Cricetulus griseus: one gene and its partners. The protein of the gene in region 3 interacts with the protein of the main gene of each other region in a pairwise test. Links are inferred from orthologs where the notes say so. Each region holds a gene or a part of one and is shown on either strand. Other genes may lie near its edges. The genes, in order: Pex10, Pex11b and Pex19.

What was found.
Region 1: the proteins of Pex19 (region 3) and Pex10 interact in a two-hybrid assay, tested with the Homo sapiens proteins (4 studies listed by BioGRID and IntAct, with this or other methods). The link is inferred for Cricetulus griseus from reciprocal best matches to the Homo sapiens genes PEX19 and PEX10.
Region 2: the proteins of Pex19 (region 3) and Pex11b interact in binary tests that used the Homo sapiens proteins (3 or more experiments, as listed by UniProt). The link is inferred for Cricetulus griseus from reciprocal best matches to the Homo sapiens genes PEX19 and PEX11B.

Annotation. Positions count from the first base shown.
Region 1 is NC_048595.1:1,246,895-1,254,348, forward strand, and holds the start of Pex10 (peroxisome biogenesis factor 10), read right to left. Parts: upstream 4,108-7,454; 5' UTR 4,055-4,107; coding exon 3,949-4,054; intron 3,386-3,948; coding exon 3,305-3,385; intron 2,029-3,304; coding exon 1,622-2,028; intron 253-1,621; coding exon 77-252; intron 1-76.
Region 2 is NW_023276806.1:59,862,225-59,869,678, reverse strand, and holds the start of Pex11b (peroxisomal membrane protein 11B), read left to right. Parts: upstream 1-3,112; 5' UTR 3,113-3,135; coding exon 3,136-3,374; intron 3,375-4,281; coding exon 4,282-4,397; intron 4,398-4,745; coding exon 4,746-4,947; intron 4,948-7,454. UniProt on the Homo sapiens protein: Involved in peroxisomal proliferation. May regulate peroxisome division by recruiting the dynamin-related GTPase DNM1L to the peroxisomal membrane. Promotes membrane protrusion and elongation on the peroxisomal surface.
Region 3 is NC_048598.1:20,720,659-20,728,112, forward strand, and holds the start of Pex19 (peroxisomal biogenesis factor 19), read right to left. Parts: upstream 4,494-7,454; 5' UTR 4,489-4,493; coding exon 4,419-4,488; intron 2,905-4,418; coding exon 2,795-2,904; intron 2,372-2,794; coding exon 2,206-2,371; intron 1,436-2,205; coding exon 1,350-1,435; intron 1,150-1,349; coding exon 988-1,149; intron 1-987. UniProt on the Homo sapiens protein: Necessary for early peroxisomal biogenesis. Acts both as a cytosolic chaperone and as an import receptor for peroxisomal membrane proteins (PMPs).

The DNA of each region.
Region 1 (7,454 bases), on a different chromosome or scaffold from region 3:
GGTGAGGACACAACTCAGGTGAGTGCGTCTTTCACAATCTCAGGGCATGCCAAAGCACCTCAGGCCCCCTGCACACCTGCGGTGGGACAGGTTGCGGTGCAGCCTCCACTCCTTCCTGGCTCGCTGCTTCTGCCTGAAGCTATACAACTGCAGTCCCATGGACAGTGCCAGATGTAACAGGGAGATGAGTCCCAGCAGTCGGTAGCTTGTACGAGCTCTCAGGTCCTCTCCAGGCAAGCGGCGAGTTCGGAGCTGTTAAAACAGGTAACCCCCCAACCCCGACGCCATCAGGATCCCCCTAGGACCTGGCCTCTTGTCTGCTAGGGGTTTTGTGTTCAGCCAGGCCTCCCCTTGGCACTGGGAGTGTTCAGAAAACAAGAACCAACCAGGGAGATATGTTCAAGAATTAAGTAGTGAGGGAGAACCCAAATTATAGGTTGATCTTTAGGCATTAGACCAGAACTGAGCCAGGAGGCTTAGATGGGTCAGGAAAATGGGTGAGGATTCTAGAGCTGTTTGGGGACCACTTCAGAGGAAGAGGAGGAGCCTGGGGAAGAGTAGAATGGGGAATAGTGAGGGGAACCTGGACGAGCAGATGCTGTTCCTTTTACTGAGTCCTCTGTGACAGGATCCTGTCCTTGCCTCTGCTGTAGCTAGTGATCTAACTCCCATCCACATCACAACAGAACCCTGCTGTCTTCCATTTCCTGTCCCTTCTTATGAAGACACCAGGGCACCTGATACCTCGGGCTCACAGGATAGCAGGCTCTGTCACAAACCCAGAGTCTAACATTCAGCAGCCTGACATTGGGGAGGGAGGCACAGCTGCTCAACTAAGTGACTGCTGGGGAGATTTTGTTGGATAACCCCTTGTCTGGCAGTACTGAGGTTAAACCTGAGGCCAGACTATGGTTCTCTGATGAGGGTGTGTAGGAGGGGTAATTTGACTGGAGGAAATGGCATGTGGTCCCCTCTGACAGGAACTTTGAACAGCTCTAGTGGGTGGTGGGCATGGAGTTAATACCTAAGAGGAGGTTTTGGGGGGTGACAGTATGCAAGGGCATTGGTAGAAAGCTAGGGTTTGAAAAGGTGAGAGGCAGCCAGACGCAACAACCAGGTTTACTACTGACCAAGGTCTGTGGCCTGTGGCCTGTGGTGTGAAATGGTGATGTGCTTACTGTGGGCCACTGCAGGAATATTTCTTAGACCAAGCCCCAAGACCTTGCCTTTCTGGTAGCGCTGCTGTAGGCAGGGATGAACGGGAAAGGCCAAGCTCTGGGCTAGAACCTGTACTTGACACCCCTTGGAATAGGTGCTCATCCCCCTAGGCAGTGAAATGGACATAGCCAGCCACAGGCCAATAGTGTGAAAACTGCTGTGGGGTTAGACTTAAGTCAGTGCCTGGCTCTGTTGCCGCACACACGCTGCACTTTGTGGAAACTGCACTTCCCTGGAACTTTTAGGAAAATAAAGCTGAACAAACTGCTGTTTCCCAAGTACAGGGTTTCAGTTCCAACTTGGAAACAACACTTGGCTGTGATCGTGCCATCAGCATGGGTCCCAAAGAGGCTTCCCAGAGGGCCCCAGCCCATAATCAGTTCCCCTTGGCATGGCTACTTACATAACTGATCCCTGCTAGCCTCTTGGCCAGGTGGTAGAAGGCACCATGGATATAAAACCAAGCAACATGGAACCGATGGAGGCAGGCAAGGCCCTGTCTAAGGATAAAGATTGTCCGTTGGAGCGTCCTCCTTTGCTGTTCAGACAGGGTGGCGGCATGGTGACGCACCCAGCGCCTTGCCCCTGACCGACTTCGTCCTCCAGGTAGTAGACTTCCCTGTGAAGCCCGTGTACCGTCACCATCGGCTTGCAGTTCCTGCTCTAGGGGCAGCAGTGCTTTATCTAGCAGGTAGGGCAAGACAGCATGGAGTGCAACCAGCACTCCACGGCGGAGCCTGGAGGGCACATGCTGCTGGGATGGGTCCACTTGGATGATCCCAACATACTCCTCTCCAAGTGTCTGGTAGCCTGAGGATCAATACACAGTGGTGAGGGTCCAAATGCAGGGACAAGCTTCTAGACCAGCCTACCCCCTCCCCGCCCTTCAAGCATCAGCAGTCACCCCAGAACCTGTCCTTCCAGGCTATCACCGTGAGACCTAGCCAAGGTCAACATGACTTCTTGTTAGAGCCACTGTGGTCTTTCTGTGACCCCATGATGCCACTCTAAGATAGGTCCTTGCTTCCCCTGTCGGTTCCTGTGCTCCTCAGTCTTGATTTGTGCCCAGTTTCCAGTCCCTCCTCTGCCTAACCCCTATCCCTTATCCAAGTGATGGGATCCAATCTTGTGGCTTCCTGCCTTCCAGACTATGGCTCAGTGTGGATCTGGTTCAGTCCTAAGTATGAGGTGAAAGGTCAGCTGCTTACCTGACAGTTTCACAAGGAGTCAGATAAAACACCCTCAAGCCTACCCCTGCCAAAAGCTAGCTTCTAGTTGTCCAACTTGGGAAAGTCTTGTTTTCTTGCACCCTGCAGAAGGCAAAGCCAGACCCGTGGTGTACCTTGAACTACTCTTTCCACCATGACCGTTTGTATCAACCTCTGCCCCCAGCGTGTCTGTCTGATCATGGCCTGCAGTTATCCCCTTCCCTTATCTGTATTTTGCAATGCCTCATAAAAGGTGAAGGCCTGTCTCCTGAGAGTGCCTGGCTACTTTCTTTGTCTGACCAGAAAATGCTTTCCCCTCCAGACTTGGTGTTTTGCCCTGAAGAGCTCGACACTTTTCAGGATTCCTTACAGTGTGGATACTTGGTGCTTTCTGTGTCTCCCACCACCCAGAGTGTAGTCAGCGGGGGCAGGTTACCCACAGTGACCTCTCCTGGCATCTGTCTCGTGGCATCTCCATCATTCCTTGCTGGATTTTGAGCTGGCACTGGTGACCTGAGGCCCTTACTATGGTTTCATTCTAAAGGACTACACAGAGGTTTAATTGGTCACTATGTGATGGGTCTGTACTGACTTGCCTTTTGCCACTGAGAAGTGGGTCCTGGGGTTGGGAATTTAGCTCAGTGGTAGAGCTTGCCTTGTCTATCAAGCACAAGGCCCTGGATTAGGTACTCCCCCTGGGGGTGGGGGAGTAGGATGTCCTGGATCAAGGTCCTCCTGGCTGAGGGCTGAGTGCTAGCCTCTTGTCTGGTCAGGGTCTTTCTTCCCTGAGGCTACATGTAGGTGAATTCCAGGAGCTGCTCAGAGGGTTGGGTGGATTGTGGGCCCCTCAGTGCCAAGGACCTGCCAAGTACTGCTACCTGCAATTGTTGTGAGGCCAAAGTAGGCTATGTCTGAGAGCAGTTCGATCTCTTTCCTCCATTCCAGCCATTTCTTTGCACCTGAGAGGAGAAAAACATTACCTCTAGGGATGCGAAGTGGGTTCAATAAGATTCTCTCCCCGATACCCAGGTTGGGGGGTGGCTTTAAGTCCAGGTCAAATCCCTCCTCTTCTAGGGCGATCCTCCAATACTCGCTCTCTCAGGCTCCTCTGCTTCCCTGCCCTGTCCACTCTCCCCACTGGGTTGATGTGAATGACTCCGAGGGAAGGCTACTTCCTAAGAACCTCTCAGTGTAAGTGTCTTGAGTCAGGAACTGTCCTAGAACTTAGGAGCCCTCAGGAAAGTCTAGGTAGTGCCAAGAACACAAGCCAGAGATCGATCACCTGGTTATTATCAAATCTCGGCTCTCTCAAATCCCTGCCTGTGAGATCTTTCTGAAAACATGCACAGGCCTCCCTGTAAGAGTAATAACGTTAGGTCCAACCTGTAGGGCCGTATGAGAAGTCAGTGGGCAAACGTTTGAGAACACTAAGCAGGCGCTGCCTGGCGCAGAGACCTGCAGTGTTCTGCAGTGAGTAAGTCTGTTTTGATCCTCGCTTTCCTAAGGAGCCTGGGGCGCTTACCCGCTAGGCTGTGCAGCGCGCTGCCCGCCGCGCTCCGCAGGCCTCCCAGGTAGTAATCGTCCTTCTGCGCCGCCCGGATCACTTCAGGTGCACCTGCCAGCGCCATGGCCCGAGTTGGGGAGCTCACACCGCGCCGGCGCGCCCAATGGGCGGGGCCTGTGACGCTCGACGTGCCTCGGTCGTGCGGCGCAGGCTGTGACCATCACGCGGAGGAAGGCGGGGCCTAAGCGCGACATCCTGAAAGGCGGGCAACCTACCGGAGAGGCAGGGATCGGGGGCGGGGCCTAAGGCGGAGCCACGCAGAAGGGGGTGGTGTCTGTGCTTGGGGGGCGGAGCCACGTAGTGGAATAGCCAATATCGAGAAGGATGTTGGTTCTTGGCGGGCGGGACCCTGAGAGAGCTCAGCCCCGCAGCCCCGCAGATTTGCCCTTGGCTTGATTCACGTTCAGTTCTTTTGGCAGGAGGTACATGTCTCTGGGCCTGTAGGAGTGGACACTTTTAGGACAGTCGTGTGATAGTCTCCTCCGGCTGCCCATGCCCCGGTTTCCTCGGCTTGGGTTGGACAGCCCCGGACAATACCGTTGACCACTGCCAGGAGGCAGGCACGTCTCAGGCAGAGGCACAAGCTTCTCGCAGAATCAAATACAACAGTTTGAAATGCCGGTTCCTCGAAGGCCCAAGGCTGCTTGTGTCCCTAGGAAACTTTCTTGTCTTCAAACTCAGAAGCTCGGTTCTAGCATAACTATGAGGTATGGCCTGCTCCGCGTGTCCCCTCATGGACTGCTGCTTTTCTGGATTCTCTTCTCTCAACCGTGGGGAGCAAGACCAGAAACGGTATCCCAAGTATCTGTTCCCTGGGAGATGCTTGTGCCTCTCTCCATGGGCTCAAATTCCCAACCACAGACCTCGTCTCAGCTGTTGACAGGTGTCTTGACCCTCAGGGCCCTCCCCCGTTTGTTGGTTGTTGCACATAAGACACCCACCCACTCCTAGGGTTCTTCTTAAGGGACAAACCACAGGAAGGCCAGCAGGTGGTGCCATCGGCCCATCTCTTCTACCAGCTTGGGTAGCTAGGGACTATTACCCCAGAGACATCCAGCACAGGTTAGGAAACAAGTGGCCCTTCAGCAAGGAGAGGAAGTGGATGGGCAGGAAGAGTAGTGCCATCATTCTAAATCAATTCTCCGGGTTCCCAGGTGACCATATGGCCTGGGGGCCCTCTTTGCTTTTCAGTGTTCCGGGGTTTAAGTACTCTGACGTGGTGGTAGAGTGAGAGTTCTCTCTAGGGGACAGGATATGCCCCTTGTCACCTGCCTTTGATCACTCTTTGCCTGAAGCACAGGGGTCCTGGGCCTGAGCCTTGTGACTAGCTCCTTGTAAACTTTTTCCTCTGCTCCAAGAATGGAGGACAGGAAGACCAGGCTCCTGAGGCTTTTAGGGAAGGCACCAGAGGTGTGGGTCAAAGTGGTTGACAGGTCTAGTCTGGCTTTGACTCACCTCTGGGCTCCTTGAGGGCCACCCCAATCCCTGAACCAAGTGTCATTCCCTGTTATCAATTGTAGTGGGGGTCCCTGGGGACACTGCACTGGAGCGATTTTGGACTGGCCTTTGACTTGCCGCCCCCCCCCCCACTAGCCCAGTACCAGGGTGCCATCAACAAGGGACAATGTGTGTCCTGCACATTCCTTCACTTGGTGGGTCTCGGCTTTCCGGTCTGTAGCTCAGGAATAATGGTGGTGTTGAGAGCTGGTGTTGAGAGCCCACCATGCTAGCGCTGAGCACTTGCATTGTCTGGGCTTAGAGATGCAGGTGGGTCATGGATCTGGGACAGGATACAGTTCTGCATCTCTTCTAACACAGGAGCTTCTGGGGCAAAGGTCAGCCATCCTAGGAGCAGTGTTCACAGTTTTGCCCCTCAACAACTTCTTCTTCTTCTTTTTTTTTTAGTTATTATTAATATGTTATTTTATTTATTTTATTAGTTCAAATTAGGAACAAGCTTGCTTCAGATGTCAATCCCTTCCCCCTCTCCCTCTCCTCCCCCCAACATCCCACCTGCCCCTAGCCATCCCCCCTACACTCCCCAGGCAGGGTAAGGCCCTCAAAAGGGATTCCCCAAAGTCTACCACATCATCCTGGGCCAGGCCTAGGCCCTTCACAACTTCTATATTCTTCATACACTGGGTATTTTGTTGTCTTGCCTGATGTTCTTTGCCAGGAATGCTAGCTCTGGCCACTTTGTTTTCTAATTTTATTAAATAATTAAATTTACCGTGTGTGTTATATGCATATGTATGTATGCATGTTTGCATATGCATGGGCATATGTATGATGTGTGTGATGTGTGTATGTGTGTGTGTGGTGTGTAATGTGTATGTGTGTGTATATGCGTGTTGATGTGTGTGTGTATGTATGTGTGTGTATGTGTGTGTGATGTGTATGTTTGTGTATATGTGTGTGTGTGTGTGTGTAATGTGTATGTGTGTGTATATGCGTGTGGTGTGTGTGTGTGTGTGTTTGGTGTGTGTGTAATGTGTATGTGTGTGTATATGCGTGTGGTGTGTGTGTGTGTGTGTGTGATGTGTATTGTGTATGTGTGTGTATATATATGTGTATGTATGTGTGTGTGATGTGTATGTGTGTGTAATGTGTATGCGTGGTGTGTGTGTGTGTGTGTGTGTGTGTGTGTGTGTGTGTGTGAGGTGGTGGTGCTGGTGCAGGATATCTGGCATCACTCTGGATTGCTCTTCCACTGTATTCATTGGAACAGGGTCTTTCAGTCAAACCCAGAGCTTGCCCATATGTCTAGTCTTGTTACTTAGCTTGCTCTGGGAATCCCCAGTGACTGCCTTACAAGGGTGAAATTACAGGTGGGTCATCTCACCCATCAGATGAGCTCTGGGTTCTGACCTGTGGTTCTCTTGCTGGTACAACAAGCACTTTATCCATTGAGTTCTATACCCAGCCCTATCTGATCTCCCCGGCCCATAGTTCTGTTGATAGGGAGGCCAGGGAACTGGGAGGGGATACTCAGGAGGTGTCCCTATTACTTCTGCTCTGTGTCCCCCCCCCCCAGGTTATCCCTTCCAGCACTACCTAGTAGACTGCTAAATGAAATGAATCAGCACACATAAGCTTTCCTTTGCCTGAGTCTGATTCCTTGTAAACTCTTACCTCTGCCTCTTGAAGGGATTTATTGCTTTGGTGGTTGCTGTGTACATCAAGCCTGGGATGGGGCTTGCCACACAGCTGCCACTCAGGAAGACGGTGGCAAAGCAGGAAACCAGGGGAAGTGCAGTAAATTCCTTTCTCTGCCTGATCCAGCCCTGGGGTTTGAGGCAGGAGTGATCCATCCTTGACTGGACTTCTAGAGCCCCTGTCCTCACTGGTCAGCTGGCCTTCTGGGAACCAGATGAGGGACAAGATAGTGCTTTCCCTGTGGGAATGGTGCACCAAGGCTGCCTTAGTCTGAGGGATTCTAGGAGGCCTGCCCCACCACCTGGGCT
Region 2 (7,454 bases), on a different chromosome or scaffold from region 3:
GTGTGTTTGTACATTACATATGTGCCTGTTGCAGAGTCAGATCAGGGTTCCAGATCCCAGATGGTTGTAAGCTGCCATGTGGGTGCCCAGATTGAATCTATGTCCTCTGAAGAGTAGCCAATCCCCCCCCCCCCCCAGACAGGGTTTCTCTGTGTAGCTTTGTAGACCAGGCTGACTCAATTCACAGAGATCACCTGCCTCTGCCTCCCGATTAAAGTCGTGTGCCACAGCCAGTGTTCTTAACCACTGAGCCAACTCTTCAGCCCTAGGTGCCTTTATAATAATAGGTGGTGGAGACCTTGTTTGTAACAGTAATTTTTTTTTTCTGCCTTAGAACTATAAGTCAAAGGTGGATCTCTGTGAGTTTGAGGCCAGCCTGGTCTACAGAGCGAGTGCCAGGATAGGCTCCAAAGCTACACAGAGAAACCCTGTCTCAAAAAACCAAAAAAAAAAATATATATATATATATATGTCAAGCTTTTGCTGTGGCTGCTGCTACTTTTTAGGCAAGGTCTTAAAACTAATTAGATCAGGCTAGCCTGGAACTCAGCTAACTGACTACATTTCCCTCCAGTGCTGGGTTGTTGAGATAGGTGCAAACCAGTTAGTCAGGCTTGTGTTACATTTCTGATATTTTATGATTTGAGATTAAGTCTTTTAGCGACAGGGTCTTGCTATATCACTCTTTGTGGACCTGAAGTTTACGACACAGATTAGGCTGGCCTTGAAGTGGTCCTCCTACCTCTGTCTCCAGAGTGTTGGAATTGCAGGCATACACTACAGTGTCTAATTTTAATAGGTATCAAGTTAATGAAAATTTACAAGCTGAATATGTCACCCTCCACCTTGTAGTGTGTCTGTTCTTGCCTCAGGACGAACACAGACTCTAACCTGGCCCACCTTTCGTCTTGCACGCATTTTCTAATCCTCAACTTTAGAAGTAACATGTGAGACCCACATGCACTTGTTTTACATCTTAGTCTTTACAGAGTTTTCCTGGATTTCAAGAGTAGATTAGATAGACATTCCACTCTTTAACTCCTAACGTGGCTGGGCATACCAAGCAGGCAGTTCTCTTAAGTACCTGTCAAAGTGGAGTATACTCAAGAGTTGATGGACGTTCTTTCTTTTTTTTTAAATGTATTTATTACATGTACACTGTTCATGCCTACATGCCAGATCTTGTTATAGATGACTGTGAGCCACCATGTAGTTGTTGGGAATTGAACTCAGGACCTCTGGAAGATCAGTCAGTGCTCATAATCTCTGAGCAATCTCTCCAGCCCCATGGACATTATTTCTTGAATGGAATAAAAAACAGTTTAACCCAAAGCTTCAGACTTAAAAAAAAAATTACGTGTATGGTGTTTTTCTTTACATGTTTGTATCATGTGCATAACTGGTACCTACTGAGGTTAGAGGAGGTGTTAGGTCCCCTGGAATTAGAGTTACAGATGGTTGTGAGCCATCATGTGTGTGCTGAGAATTAATTGAACCTGGGCCATCTCCAAGAATAAGTACTCTTTGAGTCATCTCTAGCCAGACTTCCTTCCTTCCTTCCTTCCTTCTTCTCTCCTTTTCAGACAGGGTTTCTCTGTGTAGCCCTGGCTATCCTGGAACCAGCTCTGTAGACCAGGCTGGCCTTGAACTCAGAGATCCACCTGCCTCTGCCTCCCCAGGGCTGGGATTAAAGTTGTGTGCGACTATGCCCACTAATGTCATTCTTAATAGACCTGCCTTTCTCTGCCCTGGAATTTTTTGCACCAGTATCCTAGAGGAGGTGGTACAGGGATGCGGAGTGGAAATCAAGCACCGCAAAGCCAGCCTGAGGGAAGAGACAGATGCATGTAATAGGGTAGTGCTTTTAAAGAATTGTATTTTCCATGTATGAATGTCAGCTTGATGTGTACATGTGTGAATCACATGCATTCCTGGTGCCCATGGAGGCCAGAAGAGAGCATCAGATCTACAACTGAAGTTAGAGACAGTTGTGGGCACCCATGTGCACGTTGGGAATTGAACCCCAGGGCATCGAAAGAGCAGTAAGCACTCTTTAACTACCAAGCCAGCACCTGCCCCTTCTCTTAAAAAGTCAGGGTCTCAATGTGTAGCTCTGGCTGGACTGAATGGAGCTCTATAGATAAATTAATTTTCTTTAAACTTTCAATGGTCTCCTGTCTCTGCCTCCTAAGTGTTGGAGTTACAGGTATTTGCCATCACATCCAGCAAAATGTAGGTCTAGCATGTAAATGAACTTCCCAGGAGGGAGCAGAGGCTCCCTCTCTGAGGATCCATGGCCCAGCCTGCAGCCCTGACACCTCACCTAAGGCAAGCAAGAAGCCAGGTGGTGTGGTGTCTGTCCCTCGGTGTGTGCCTGCCCCGGTACATTTCTTTTACACACTGTCTACACCTTCCACCTGAGCGCTGGGTTAAAGCTTCAAGGCAGGAAGGCCACCCACATGGCAATTAGTTTTTAGAGGCATGGGGTCTAACATGCGACATCTCCAAATACAATGGACAAGAATATTTCAGGTAACAAACATGTAGGGGCATAACCGCAGAAGTGACCGTTAAGTTGGCAACGGTTCATGAGTCAAGAGTAGTGGAGCTGGGAAGGGATGGAGCTGGCTGCATCACTGGTGTGCGGCTGACCACAGCACAGCCAGGTTTCTTCCAGCAGAGTAACGCAGAGCACAACAATGGTCACTCCCATTCGGACCTTGCTACCTCTGAGAAGGTGGGCATCTCTGACCTATTTCCACTCCTGTAATTTTGCCCAGACCGTCCTTCACCACTGCTGACCCCGAAAGTGTGCCAGGGCCTGCAGATGTGGTAGCCTGTGAATTCCGTCCACTTAATTCTGCCCCTGGACTATTCATCATCTATGGGAGAGGAATTGCCAAACGGGATCTCATCACACCCTCGTTCCCTTGGACCGTTAGTCTGGGCTACAGGATTCTGCTGCCCTGGGCTCTTCATTGCCCACAGTGGGATAGGGATAAGATAGATTGCCTTGGCCGACACCCTACAGCGCCTCCGAGCTCCCGCAGGCCCCGCCCCTTGCTGCTGAGACGTTAAAGCAGAATGTGCTCCCGAGGGCGTGCTTAGAGGCTGCAGACCCTCCCGGAGGGGGTGATGTGCCGGAAATGCAGCCACGATCTCGCTTCGCGTCCTGAAACTCCGCCACAGGGCCGGCTCCCGCTGGTTGGCTTTCCTGCCGCCGTTTGTCCCTCGCGAAGCCCCGTTGCTCGCCCGGGAGGCGTGACTAGGGGTGGAAGCGGGCGGGCTGCGGCGCCGTGGGCCCGGGCTGCCGCTGTCATGGACGCCTGGGTCCGCTTCAGCGCGCAGAGCCAAGCCCGGGAGCGGCTGTGTAGGTGCGGCCGACGGAGGAGCTCGGGCGGGAGGGCAGAGCAGGTGCCCGCGAGGCGACGGGCGCGCTACGGGGTCCCTAAGGGTCAGCTGTGGCTACGGGGGCCTGCGCGGCCCGGGAGGCGCACTCTGTAGCCGGTTGTGAGATGATTCCTGCTCACGGGAAAGATGGGGAAACTGAGGCATGAGTGGGCCAGCGGGGAGGCCGTCCAGGGTTACCGTGTCCACAAAGCGCAACAGTTTCCTCACTGCCCTGGTGGCATGAGGGGCGATCTTCCCGGTTCTGCGTCCTCTCACCGGCTGTCACCTAGGAGCAGCGCTGTCTCGGCTCTCCTTCGGGTCCCATACAGTTCAAGGACCTTAATCTCTTAGTTCACCTATCCGGAGGAATAATCCGCCCTTCAGCTAGATCGCTCTCTGCCGTGTTTCATATATAAACTCGCGCGTGGACGCTTGTGATGGATCCCGGCTGCTTAGGCCTCACCGTTTTACTCTCCTAACCCCAAATAGTGATCTCCACCTTCTCAATAGGCTTTATTTTCCCCTTATGTCGTTCCCTTCCCCCTGGCTTTGAGGAAAAACGGAAAGATTGGTGTGAAAAGGAGGAAATGTCCCCGGAGGAGTTGTTGTTTTCAGATTGGTTACTATTTGTCTGAGCATGTTATCTGCAAGTTTGTATGTGCACCACATGTGTATCTGGTGCCTGCAGAGGTCAGAAGAGGGTGATAGATGCCCTGGAAACTGGAGTTACAGACGGTTGTGAGCCACAATGTGGGTGCTGGGAATGCAACCGGGTCCGTTGCCCTCTCCAAGAACAAGTGCTCTTAACTGCCTCACCATCCGGCTGGAGGGCATTTTTTGGCAGAGAGGTTAGGGAGGCCTGTCCCTTACTTTTCCTGTTCTCCCCTCCAGGGCTGCCCAGTATGCCTGTTCCCTTCTTGGACATGCTTTGCAGAGACATGGGGCCAGTCCCGAATTGCAGAAACAGATTCGACAACTGGAGGGTCATCTGAGCCTTGGAAGAAAGCGTAAGTAAAACAAACCTTTCTATCAGCCCATTGCCTCTCCTTCCTGTATTTTCCCTTTCTGCTAGTTTGCCATCATTTGGCTCTTCTGCATGCCTCCAACTGAGTTAAGACAACAGGTATAAGAAAGTACACACATGGCTTGGAGAGAATGGGGCAAGTGAAAAAAACCTAAACTGGGGACAAAAATTAATTACAATTTGAATTTTTAAAAAAGAACAAATTATTTTTACCCTTATTGTATGTTATTCTTGTTTCTCGACTTTTACTTTTTTCTTTCTTTACTTTTTTCTCCACCCCCACCTTTGCTTCTTTACTTCAAATCCCTTGCTTTCCCCTGTTCTCCACAAGTGCTACGCCTGGGTAACTCGGCAGATGCTCTTGAGTCAGCCAAAAGAGCTGTGCACCTATCGGATGTTGTCCTGAGATTCTGCATCACTGTTAGTCATCTCAATCGAGCCTTATACTTTGCCTGTGACAATGTTCTGTGGGCTGGAAAGTCCGGACTAGCTCCCCGTGTGGACCAGGAAAAGTGGGCACAGCGTTCATTCAGGTTTGATTTTTGTTTTCTCCTACAAAACTATTTATGGCCTCCGTTCCTTATAGCTTGCACACACATAGACACACACACACACAGAGACACAGACACACACACCCCAACATTTAAATATTTTACTTTATGTGTATGGATGTTTTGCCTGCATGTATGTCTGTGCACCATTTGTGTGCCTGGTGCTGGCAGAGGCCAAAAGAGGGCAGCAGAATTGGAGTTATAGATGGTTGTGAGCTGTCATGTGGGTTCTGGGAATCAAAACCCAGGTCCTTGGGAAGAGAGGGGTGCTTTTACCCACTAAACCATCACTCTAGCCCATATATATGTGTGTGTGTGTGTGTGTGTGTGTGTGTGTGTGTGTGTGTGTGTGTGTGTTTAAAAAGAATGGGCTGAAGAGATGGCTCAGAGGTTAAGAATCCTGCATGCCCTTCCAGAGGTCCTGAGTTCAATTTCCAACAACATGGTGGGTCACAACCATCTGTAATGAGATCTGGCGCCCTTCTTCTGGCGCCCATCTTTTTTTTTGTTGTTGTTGTTGTTTTTGTTTTGTTTTGTTTTGTTTTTCAAGACAGGGTTTCTCTGTGTATCTTTGGAGCGTATCCTGGCACTCACTCTGGAGACCAGGCTGGCCTGAAACTCACAGAGATCCGCCTGCCTCTGCCTCCCAAGTGCTGTGATTAAAGGTGTTTCACCAACACCGGCTGTTTACACATCTTTTGATTCAAGCAACCACAGATTGAAAATGTCAAGGGGAAAAGTGCATCTGAATTGAACATGTGAAAGTGTTTTGTGTCATTATTCCTTAAACAGTATAGTATAACATTTCTTTACATTACATATTTATTGTATTAGATATTTTAAAATATCTGGAGGTAGATACAAAGGATTGTGTAGGTTATATATAAATGCAATACCATTTTATCTGAGGGATTTGAGCAGCTATGGATTTGGGTAGAATTTGGGTGAGTGGGCTGAGTGTAGGATCCCAGAATTAATCTTCCATGGATGCAAGGACTATCTATATATTACTCATTTTTTGTCTGTTTTTGAGACAGGGTCTTACTATATATCCCTGGTTGACTCACTATATAGACTATCTTGGCTTTGAACTCACAGAGATTTACCTGACTCTGCTTCCAAAGTGCTGGAACTAAAGTTGCATGCCACTGTGCTGTGACAAATAGCTATCTTAATTGACCATTTGGTTTCCAATCTTCACTTGTATCTTAAACCGTAAAAGAGTAACACTATCAGATGGAAGTTAGATTTGCTATACCATAATAAGTGGCTGAGATTGGAGATGATAAATATTGTATTACTTTAACTATGTCTAAACCATAGTCTACTCTCATTGCCTTCCTACTCATTTATTCATTTTCTCTTAATATTTTTATTTATTAGCTGGGTGGTGGTGGCACACACCCAGCACTTGGGAGGCAGAGGCAAGGTAGATCTCTGTGAGTTCAAGGCCTGCCTGGTCTATAGAGTATGAGCCAGGATAGGCTCCAAAGCTACACCGAGAAACTCTGTCTTGAAAAAAAAACAAAATAATATTTTTATTTATTATTAGTGTGTGTGATGGGGCAGGTTGCATTGCCACAGTGTGTGTGTGTGGGACAGATTGCAAGGACTGATTCTCTCCTTCCACCATGTGGATCTCAAGGTTGAACTCAGTTCATCACATTTGGTAATGGAGCCTTTACCCTGCTGGGTCATCTTGCCAGTTTTTTTGTTTGTTTGTTTGTTCAGTTTTTGTTTTATCTTGTTGTTGTTTTTGAGGTTATTGTTATTGTTATTATAGGTCTCACTACATAGCCTAATTTAGCCTTGAACTCAGGATTCTCCTGCTTTAGACTCCCCCTCCCCAGTTTAGGACAGGATTAGAGATGAGTTAGCATGTCTAGTTTCCTTTCCTTTGGTGATATAGGGGTCTCATAGGACTGAGATAACACAGTTCTACAAGCATGAAGACCGAGTTTGATCCCCAGAACCCCACCCATGCACACACACGCCCCCCAACACACACATAAGCCAGGGATGGTGATACACTCTTGTAATCCCAGCAATATGGAAGATAATCAGGAGGATTCCTAAGGCTCTCTGGCCAGCCAGCCCAGAAAGTGAGCAAGTTTCAAGCCAAGTGATAAATCCTGTCTCAAAAAACAAGATGGATAGCACCTGAGGAGTGACCCCAAGGTTGAACTCTGGGCTTCACATGCATGTGCACGCATGTGCATACATACCCACGAATGTGTGCACCCACACACATGAAAGAGATGGGGGTGTCTCATTACTCAGGCTGGTACAGAATTCCTGGGTTCAAACAATCCTACCTTAGCCATTCTAGTAGCCGGGACTCCATGAGCATGTGCCATTACTACTGGGCTTGGCTTTTCCAAAACTATTTCTTAGTTTCTTACTATGGACCAGGAGATTAAGCAGAAGCCAAACAAATGTGGTTCCTGACCCATGAAACTTAAGGTCTGCAATGAGATGACTCAATGAGT
Region 3 (7,454 bases):
GGAACAGATTTATTTCATCTGATACTTCCAGGTAACAGTCCATCACAGAGGGCAGGAACTCAAGCAGAGACCACGGAGGAATACTGCCTACTCGCTGACTGTTTTGCTTGTTTTTTTTTTTTTTTTAGCTTTCTTGCTATAGCCTAAGCCCACCTGCCTAGAGATGGTACCACCCACAGTGGGCTATGCCCTTCCACATACACACAAACACACACACACTCCCCTAATTAAAAAATAGAAATAAAAATAAATCTTTTTAAAACAATATAAAAACTGCTCTTAGCTTGAGAGTTGGACTTAGGCTATACAAACACTGGTCTGCAGACTCCTGGTATTGCTACTCATTTCCTACTCAGTCACATGTTGCCCTGTGATGCTGAAGGGCTTCTATTTCTCTAGTGAAACTATAAGCTTTTTCAAGCAGGGACCATCATTTAAACTATTCTCAAATTGTTCATAACAACACCACAAAATCCTGTGAATCCTTACTGGAGAAATTAACAAAGTTAAGAAATACAAGAAGGGTCCAGGCCTTTAATTCCCAGCACTTTGGAGGCAGAGGCAGGTGGATCTCACTGAGTTTGAGCCCAGCCTGGTGTACATACAAGACAGCCAGGACAGAGAAACCCTGTCTTGAGGAGAAAAAAAGGAAGGAAGGAAAGAAAGAAAGAAAGAAAGAAAGAAAGAAAGAAAGAAAGACAAGAAGAAGGAATGGATCAGTCAAACTCAGAGTCTTGAACTAATTTAGAGAAAACTAAAGTGAAGAAATTACCCCTTCTAGCTCAGACACTCCCAGTGGGGAAAAATGATCAGATCACCTATGTACCTTTATTCCCTCAATAACTTCTTCTACTTCCGACAAAGAGGAGTTTAAAAGAATGCACTTGTACACTCAAATTGCCCTTTTACTATGCATTGTCTGAGCAGAGTGGCCCACGGTTGACATAATGAAGTGAGGAGAAAAGGCAGAAGTGGAAACTCACACACCTTTTCCGTGATCTCCTTCAGGGACGGGTACAGTACATCCTTAGACAGGAGGTTCTGCATGATGCTCTGCATGATGGGGAGGATGTTCCCATCCCCGTCCCCGTCATCCATGCCCAGCCCTTCCATGGCTTTGGTCAGTTCCTCTTCAGACATGCCTGAGTTCTAGACAAGACAAAAGAGAGGCCAACAGGTTACACTGCCTTCCTGGAATGCTTACCACTCTTTTAGGTTCAAAGAACTATCTAGATGTGCCTGTAACAAAAATCAAGGCAGGGTCAGATTTGAGGAGATACCCTAGAGCATCTACTTTGTGAGACTGCTCAGGAAGCATCTGGGAGTGGACCCCTATTCCTTCCCTTTACCTGAAGGTCAGTGGCATTTTTGGCTAGCCCACTTAATGTCTCCTTTAGGCAAGAAGTAAATTCTTGTTGAGAGTTTGCATCACTGCCTAGGAGAAATGAAAAGAACCAGGATTACCTAGGAGTTTAATTGTCAGCTTGTCTAGACTGACCTACTTACCAGCTTGGATATAAAGCATTTACTAGCAAACTACTAATACATCAAAATCTTACCTATTCTTTTTGGTCACCTTCATGGTCATGCCATAAATCTATATAGATTATGTGCTAATTGTTCTGCACAGTAACACTCACAACACTGTCTTTTCAAAGGGCTAGTTTGGGATAATCTTATTTATTTATTTATTTACTTTGGGGGGGGGAGGGGGGTTGAGACAGGGTTTCTCTGTGTAGCTTTGGTGCCTGACCTGGAACTAGCTCTTGTAGACCAGGCTGATCTCAAACTCAGAGATCCACCTGCCTCTGTCTCCTGAGTACTGGGATTAAAGGTGTGTGCCACCAATGCCCCGCTATTTACTTTTAAGACAAGGTCTTACTATGTAGGTCTAGCTGTCCTGGAACTCAATATGTAGATCATAGTGAGTTCCTCAAACTCACAGAGATCCATTTGCCTCTGCCTCCCATAGATTAAAGGAACATGCTACTACACCTGGTTGAAATAATCTTTTTTTTTTAATTATTTTCCAAAATATCTTAACCTTTTCTTACAGTAAGCAAGATCTGATTCCCACACTTGTTTTTCTTGCCTTGCTCCACTCCATGGCTGTAACATTATAATCAATGTTATCAATGTTACAATCCTGGTATTCTAGAGCAATAAAGAGGTCTGTCCAGTATATTTTGTTTGGGGTTTCCTCACCCACTCTCCCAGCTGCCTCTGAGAGCTTCTGGAACTGTTCCACCAGGTGGGGCTCTTCTTCAGCCAGCTCCTTCATTGCCTTCTCAAACTCTGCAGTGGCTTGGGAAGCCAACTCACTATCGAACAGTTCCTGGAAAAACTTCTCTTGGGAGGCGAAGAGGGCATCCTGCAGTGGAGAGGTGGACAAAATTCATCTCTTACAGCACCACCCTGAGTCTAGCCCTCTATGGGAGCTCAGGTAGTGGGCTTGGAAAATGAAACATCAGCCCCACAGACACCTCCACTGAACATTCTATCTGCCTCTTCTTCTCGGGAGGGCAGCAAGCAAAGAATCTGGACACTGAAGGAATAGTGTGAGGTAGCATACAAATCCAATCACTAAAAACTGCTCTTTTCTCAAAGTGCTTCTTTGCTACCCCTCAGTACAACCCCAGGTCCTTGTTTCACAGGAGCTGAGGCCTGGAAGAACACCCAGCAGTTCCAGGCAAAGGCATCCTCCCACCCACCCTTCTGGCCCATAGGGGCCTGCCCCACCCCTGCTCTGATTTGCATGCCCATCCCCCCTCCCTTAAGGGGGTGGGATTTATACTTTGGCAGTGTCTCCTGGCGATTTCTTCTGGGGTCCTGAAGCATCGGGGGCCGAGGTGGTAGGAGGGGGTGCTGGGGAGGGTTTGGCTTTATCGAAATCATCAAGAGCACCTTTGGAAACAAGAGACATGGTGGGTATGTTGGGGATAGATAAGGCTAGCAAGCTGCAATTCTGAGCAAACTGTCAGGAACATAATCATATAGAGTGCCAGCTTCCTTGAACTCCCCTCTTTTCCTGGTGTCTCCCCTGCCTGGTCCACTGACCAACAAACAGGTTTCCCACATTCCTTGGGAATCATCTAACTTATTATGAATAGCTGGCAAGAAAGAAAACCCTTTACATAAAGCCAGTGTTCATCTTAGAACTAGGGAGAAAGGATGAAATAAGCTGCGCAGAGAGAAATCTCTATATGCATGCTATAAAATTCCCTAAAACCACACACAGTTATCTAACATGAAGAGAGGGAGAGATACTTATTTCTTTGAACCCACTCTGAGGCATTAACGGCAATATCCTCTTGTAAGAAAGCACAGGGTATCCCACCCAACTCTCCATGGGCCCTACTACTCGTACAAACTCCACCCGTCCTACAGGAGGGTAGTAAGCTCTGAAGTTATGTTCAATTCAGCAGGCACCTACAGCTACTCCCCTTGGCCTTATAAGCAGTAACCCTGGGCCAATGGAGTCACTTGCCACGCCTCATTAAATCTGTTCATTCTCTCCCTGCCTAGGTCGTTGTGACTGAGCAACAGATAAAAGGTTCACCTCTGCCCTGAAAAGCCTGTGTTGTCACCACCACTCTGCTTGCCAGGACTAGTGAAAGGGCACCGGCCTCACTCTGGGCAGGAAACCAGGGTGGAGGGCAAGAGTAACAAACATCCACCATCACTTCAGGAAGATGAAATGTTTCCCCCTGGGATTGGCTCACTGTCAGTTTCTCCAAAAGGATGAAAAAGGATGTCAGGCATGCTGGCATGGAGAGGCAGGGGCCGGGAAAATCACAAGTTCAAGGCCATCTCTGAGTCTGAGGCCAGCCTAGACGACACGAGACAGTCTCTCAAACCAACAATAATTTTCGAAGTAGTCTCCTTGAACTACTTACACAAAAGAACCAAGGGCCTGGTAAAGAATGAGGAAAGACTGTGAGGTAAAAGGAGTTAGGAAAGACACTTTTGGGTTAAGAAAGAGACTACGACGGACATAAGGACCCTTGGAGTTACTCTGTTCTGTGAAGGTTGCTACTGACAGGGGAGGAGATTTCAATAATTCACTAAAGCCGGTCCTGGCGGTTGCAGCCTGTAATCTCAGCACTCCCATAGGCTGAGGCACGAAGACGGTCGCGAGTTCAAAGCCAGCCTCAAAAACAATCCGACACTCTAAAGCAAGACCAGTTTTGGCGGGGGTGGGGGTGTCCGCAGAGAGATTTGAGGTCTGGACTGATCAGTGACCAAGGCGAACACACAGCTCCCGCTGAGGCGGAGGGCCGGCCGGGGTCGAAGTCAGACCACCTCCCCCGCCAACCACTGGAGAGATTCCCCCGCTCCGCCCCAAATCTCAAGTTCCCTTAACCCCGCAGAGGGTCCTCGCCCCCGACCCCTCTGGCCTTCCCGCCACGGGCTCTTACTTTCCAGAAGCTCCTCCAGTTCCCGGTCCGCTTCGACCCCAGCATCGCAACCTTCCTCAGCGGCCGCCATCTTGCTGCCTCCGACTTGCCGTAGGAGGTGGAACCACTGGCGCCACCACACGTCCCGCCCCTAACCCCGCCCCTGTGACTTTGTGCAGCCAATGATATCGCTCTACTGTGCAGGACCGCCATTTTTAAAGGGACAGGAAACCGTGGCTTTCGTTGGTTGTTGTTGTTTTTATTTTTCTTCTGAGAAGCAACCTCGGTCCTCGCACGAACTAAGCCAGCACTCCACCCCCGGAGCTACAGCCACGGCGGTTGGACTTGAACTAGATCTGTTGCGCAGGCTGGTCTAGAAATCGGGCGCCTCCCGCCTCCATTTCCCAAATGCCCGACCCACCAGGCCCAGCTTGAGGTGGGGGCCGGGCTGAGGGGCTGAAGAGGCGAGAGGATCTGTTTGTTAACTTTCCCTTTCGTCCGGAGAGGTTTTGTTTTCAGGCAGGTTCTTCTTGTCCTACTGCCTCCTCCTCCAGAAGGAAGAGATTACACCACAAGATTTAGCTAAACCCGGAGCTAAAAAACTCCCGGTAACGTGCATTTTTTTTTTTAAGGCTAAAAACAGAATTGTCAAATTGAGGCAATTTCAAAGCCTGCATGGTAGGGGAGATTTTTTGTTTGTTTGTTTTCAAGACAGGGTTTCTCTGTGTAGCCCTGGCTGTCCTGGGACTCGCTCTGTAGACCAGGCTGGCCTCGAACTCACAGAGATTCACCTGCCTCTGCTGTGCTGGGATTAAAGGTGTGTGCCACCCCCCCACCCTTAGGAGAGACTTCTACCCATGCCCTGGACTCTGACCTCCACATGTGCTCCTTGACACAAAACAGATAGATAAACAAAATAATGATTGCCAAATCTATTTTTAGCACGTAGTGAGCATCTACAGTTGTATACAATCTTATGCTAGGCACAATGAAATATACAAATAAATCCGAGTTGGTCCTGCCTGTAAGGGCTGACTGGAGGTAGAATTGGAAACACAGTTAATAGAATTCAGACAGACTCAAACACAAACATAATTCTTTCTCTGCATTATTTCCTTCTCTGTTGTGTGTGCATTTGTTTTGTTTTACCGAGACAGGGTTTCTCCGTGTAGCCCTAGCTGTCCTGGAACTCACTCTGTAGAACCAGGCTGTCTTCAAACTCAGAAATCACCCTGCATGTGCCTTCAGAGTGCTGGAACTAAAGACGTGTGCTACCACGCCCGCTCTGCTTTCTATTCCTCCTTCTGATAGTCCTAACATCCTACCGCAATGTAACTCACCCCTCACTGCTCTTTCTGACTTCCTAATACATAGTGAATACTGACAAAACCGTATTTCATAGTACCCCCTCTCCTTTCTTGCTTGAAGAGGCTCATTTAGCTCAGGCTGACCTAGATCCTCATCCTGTTGCCTACACACCCCAAGTACCAGTATTACAGATACTCACTGCCATGCCCTATTCTGCTCATATATTTTTTTTAAGATTTTATTTATTATGTATACAACATTCTGCTTCTATGTACATCTGCACACCAGGAGAGGGCACCAGATCTCATAACGGATGGTTGTGAGCCACCATGTGGTTGCTGGGAATTGAACTCAGGACCTCTGGAAGAGCAGTCAGTGCTCTTAACCTCTGAGGCATCTCTCCAGCCCCTCTGCTCATATTTTTTTCATACTGTTTAAGGACTTAATGGCTCTCCACTGCTTATGATTAACTTCAGACTTTTGACTGATAGAATTATTTCATATATATCCATTCTTCTTTCCCAAGTTAGGTAAGTGACAAGAAGCAGAGATTATCAACTGGGTTCACAATACTTACTTTAGAATGTTTGTGTACAGTTTTGTGATTTAATTTGTAAACTTACAAAAAAAAAGACCCTTATTTTTAGACAGGGTCTCACTATGTAGCACTGGCTGGCCTAGAACTTAAAAGATCATCCTGCCAAGACTTAAAAAATATTTTTAATTATTTAAAATTGTGTGTGCGCACATACGCATTTGGGTGTGTGTTTGTGAGTGCACTTCCTGTTAGGAGCAAGAGGTGACAAATCCCTCTGGAGCTAAGAGTTATAGGTGGTTATGAGCCACCAGGTGTGGATGATGGGAACTGAACTCTAGTCCTCTGCTAAGCCATTTCTGTAACCCCCAAGATGTCGTTCTTGAGACGGTCTCACTCTTTAGCCAAGGCTAGCCTTGAATGTGAGACAATTGTTCCGCCTCAGCCTTCCAAGAATTTTAATTATAGGTGTAAGCCACCATGCCTGATTCTTGCCTGTACTTGCAGGAAGGATGTTTAAAACTTGAGAAAATATTTTTATAGTATACAGGTTTTTGAGAAAGCAGCCTTAGTTTGAGGATTATATTTAAGACAGCAACTCTTAGATCTGACAACATAAAAGTCCTGTGATCTTTGAAGCAGGTATTCCTTTTGTAGTTCAGCCTCAGGGATACTTTCCCCACCCATACAATGTGTGTTCAAGTTTATTTATTGCAACAACGCTGATAATTGCAAAAGACTGCATAACCCAGATACTATAGACACTTTCATAACTTAAAATATGCAGTGAAAAAACTAGTATGTATACTAGTTTTAAAGCAAAATGTTCAAGACCTGTCTCAGAAATAACACAAAGAACCTGGTACACACTTTGCACATCTTTTCCCCAGTGGATATAGATAGCTCAGTAGTAGAATGCTTGCCTGTCATGTGCAAAACCCTGGGTTCAATTCCAGTCACTAAACAAAATTTCTGCATCTATCTAGTTTTTGAGAACGGTGTGTGCTACCCTATGTAGTGCTAGGAACTAAGTCCAGGACCCTGTACATACTAAGCCAGCACTCTACAATGGAGCTACATCTCCAGCTGTGTGCTTGTGTGGATCTACACGTGGGGTTGTGCATGGGAGCGCAGGTGCCTGTGAAGGCTCAAAACCCTGGCTCTCCTGGAGCTGGAGTTACTGGTGATAGAAACTGAACCTGGGCCCCCTGGAA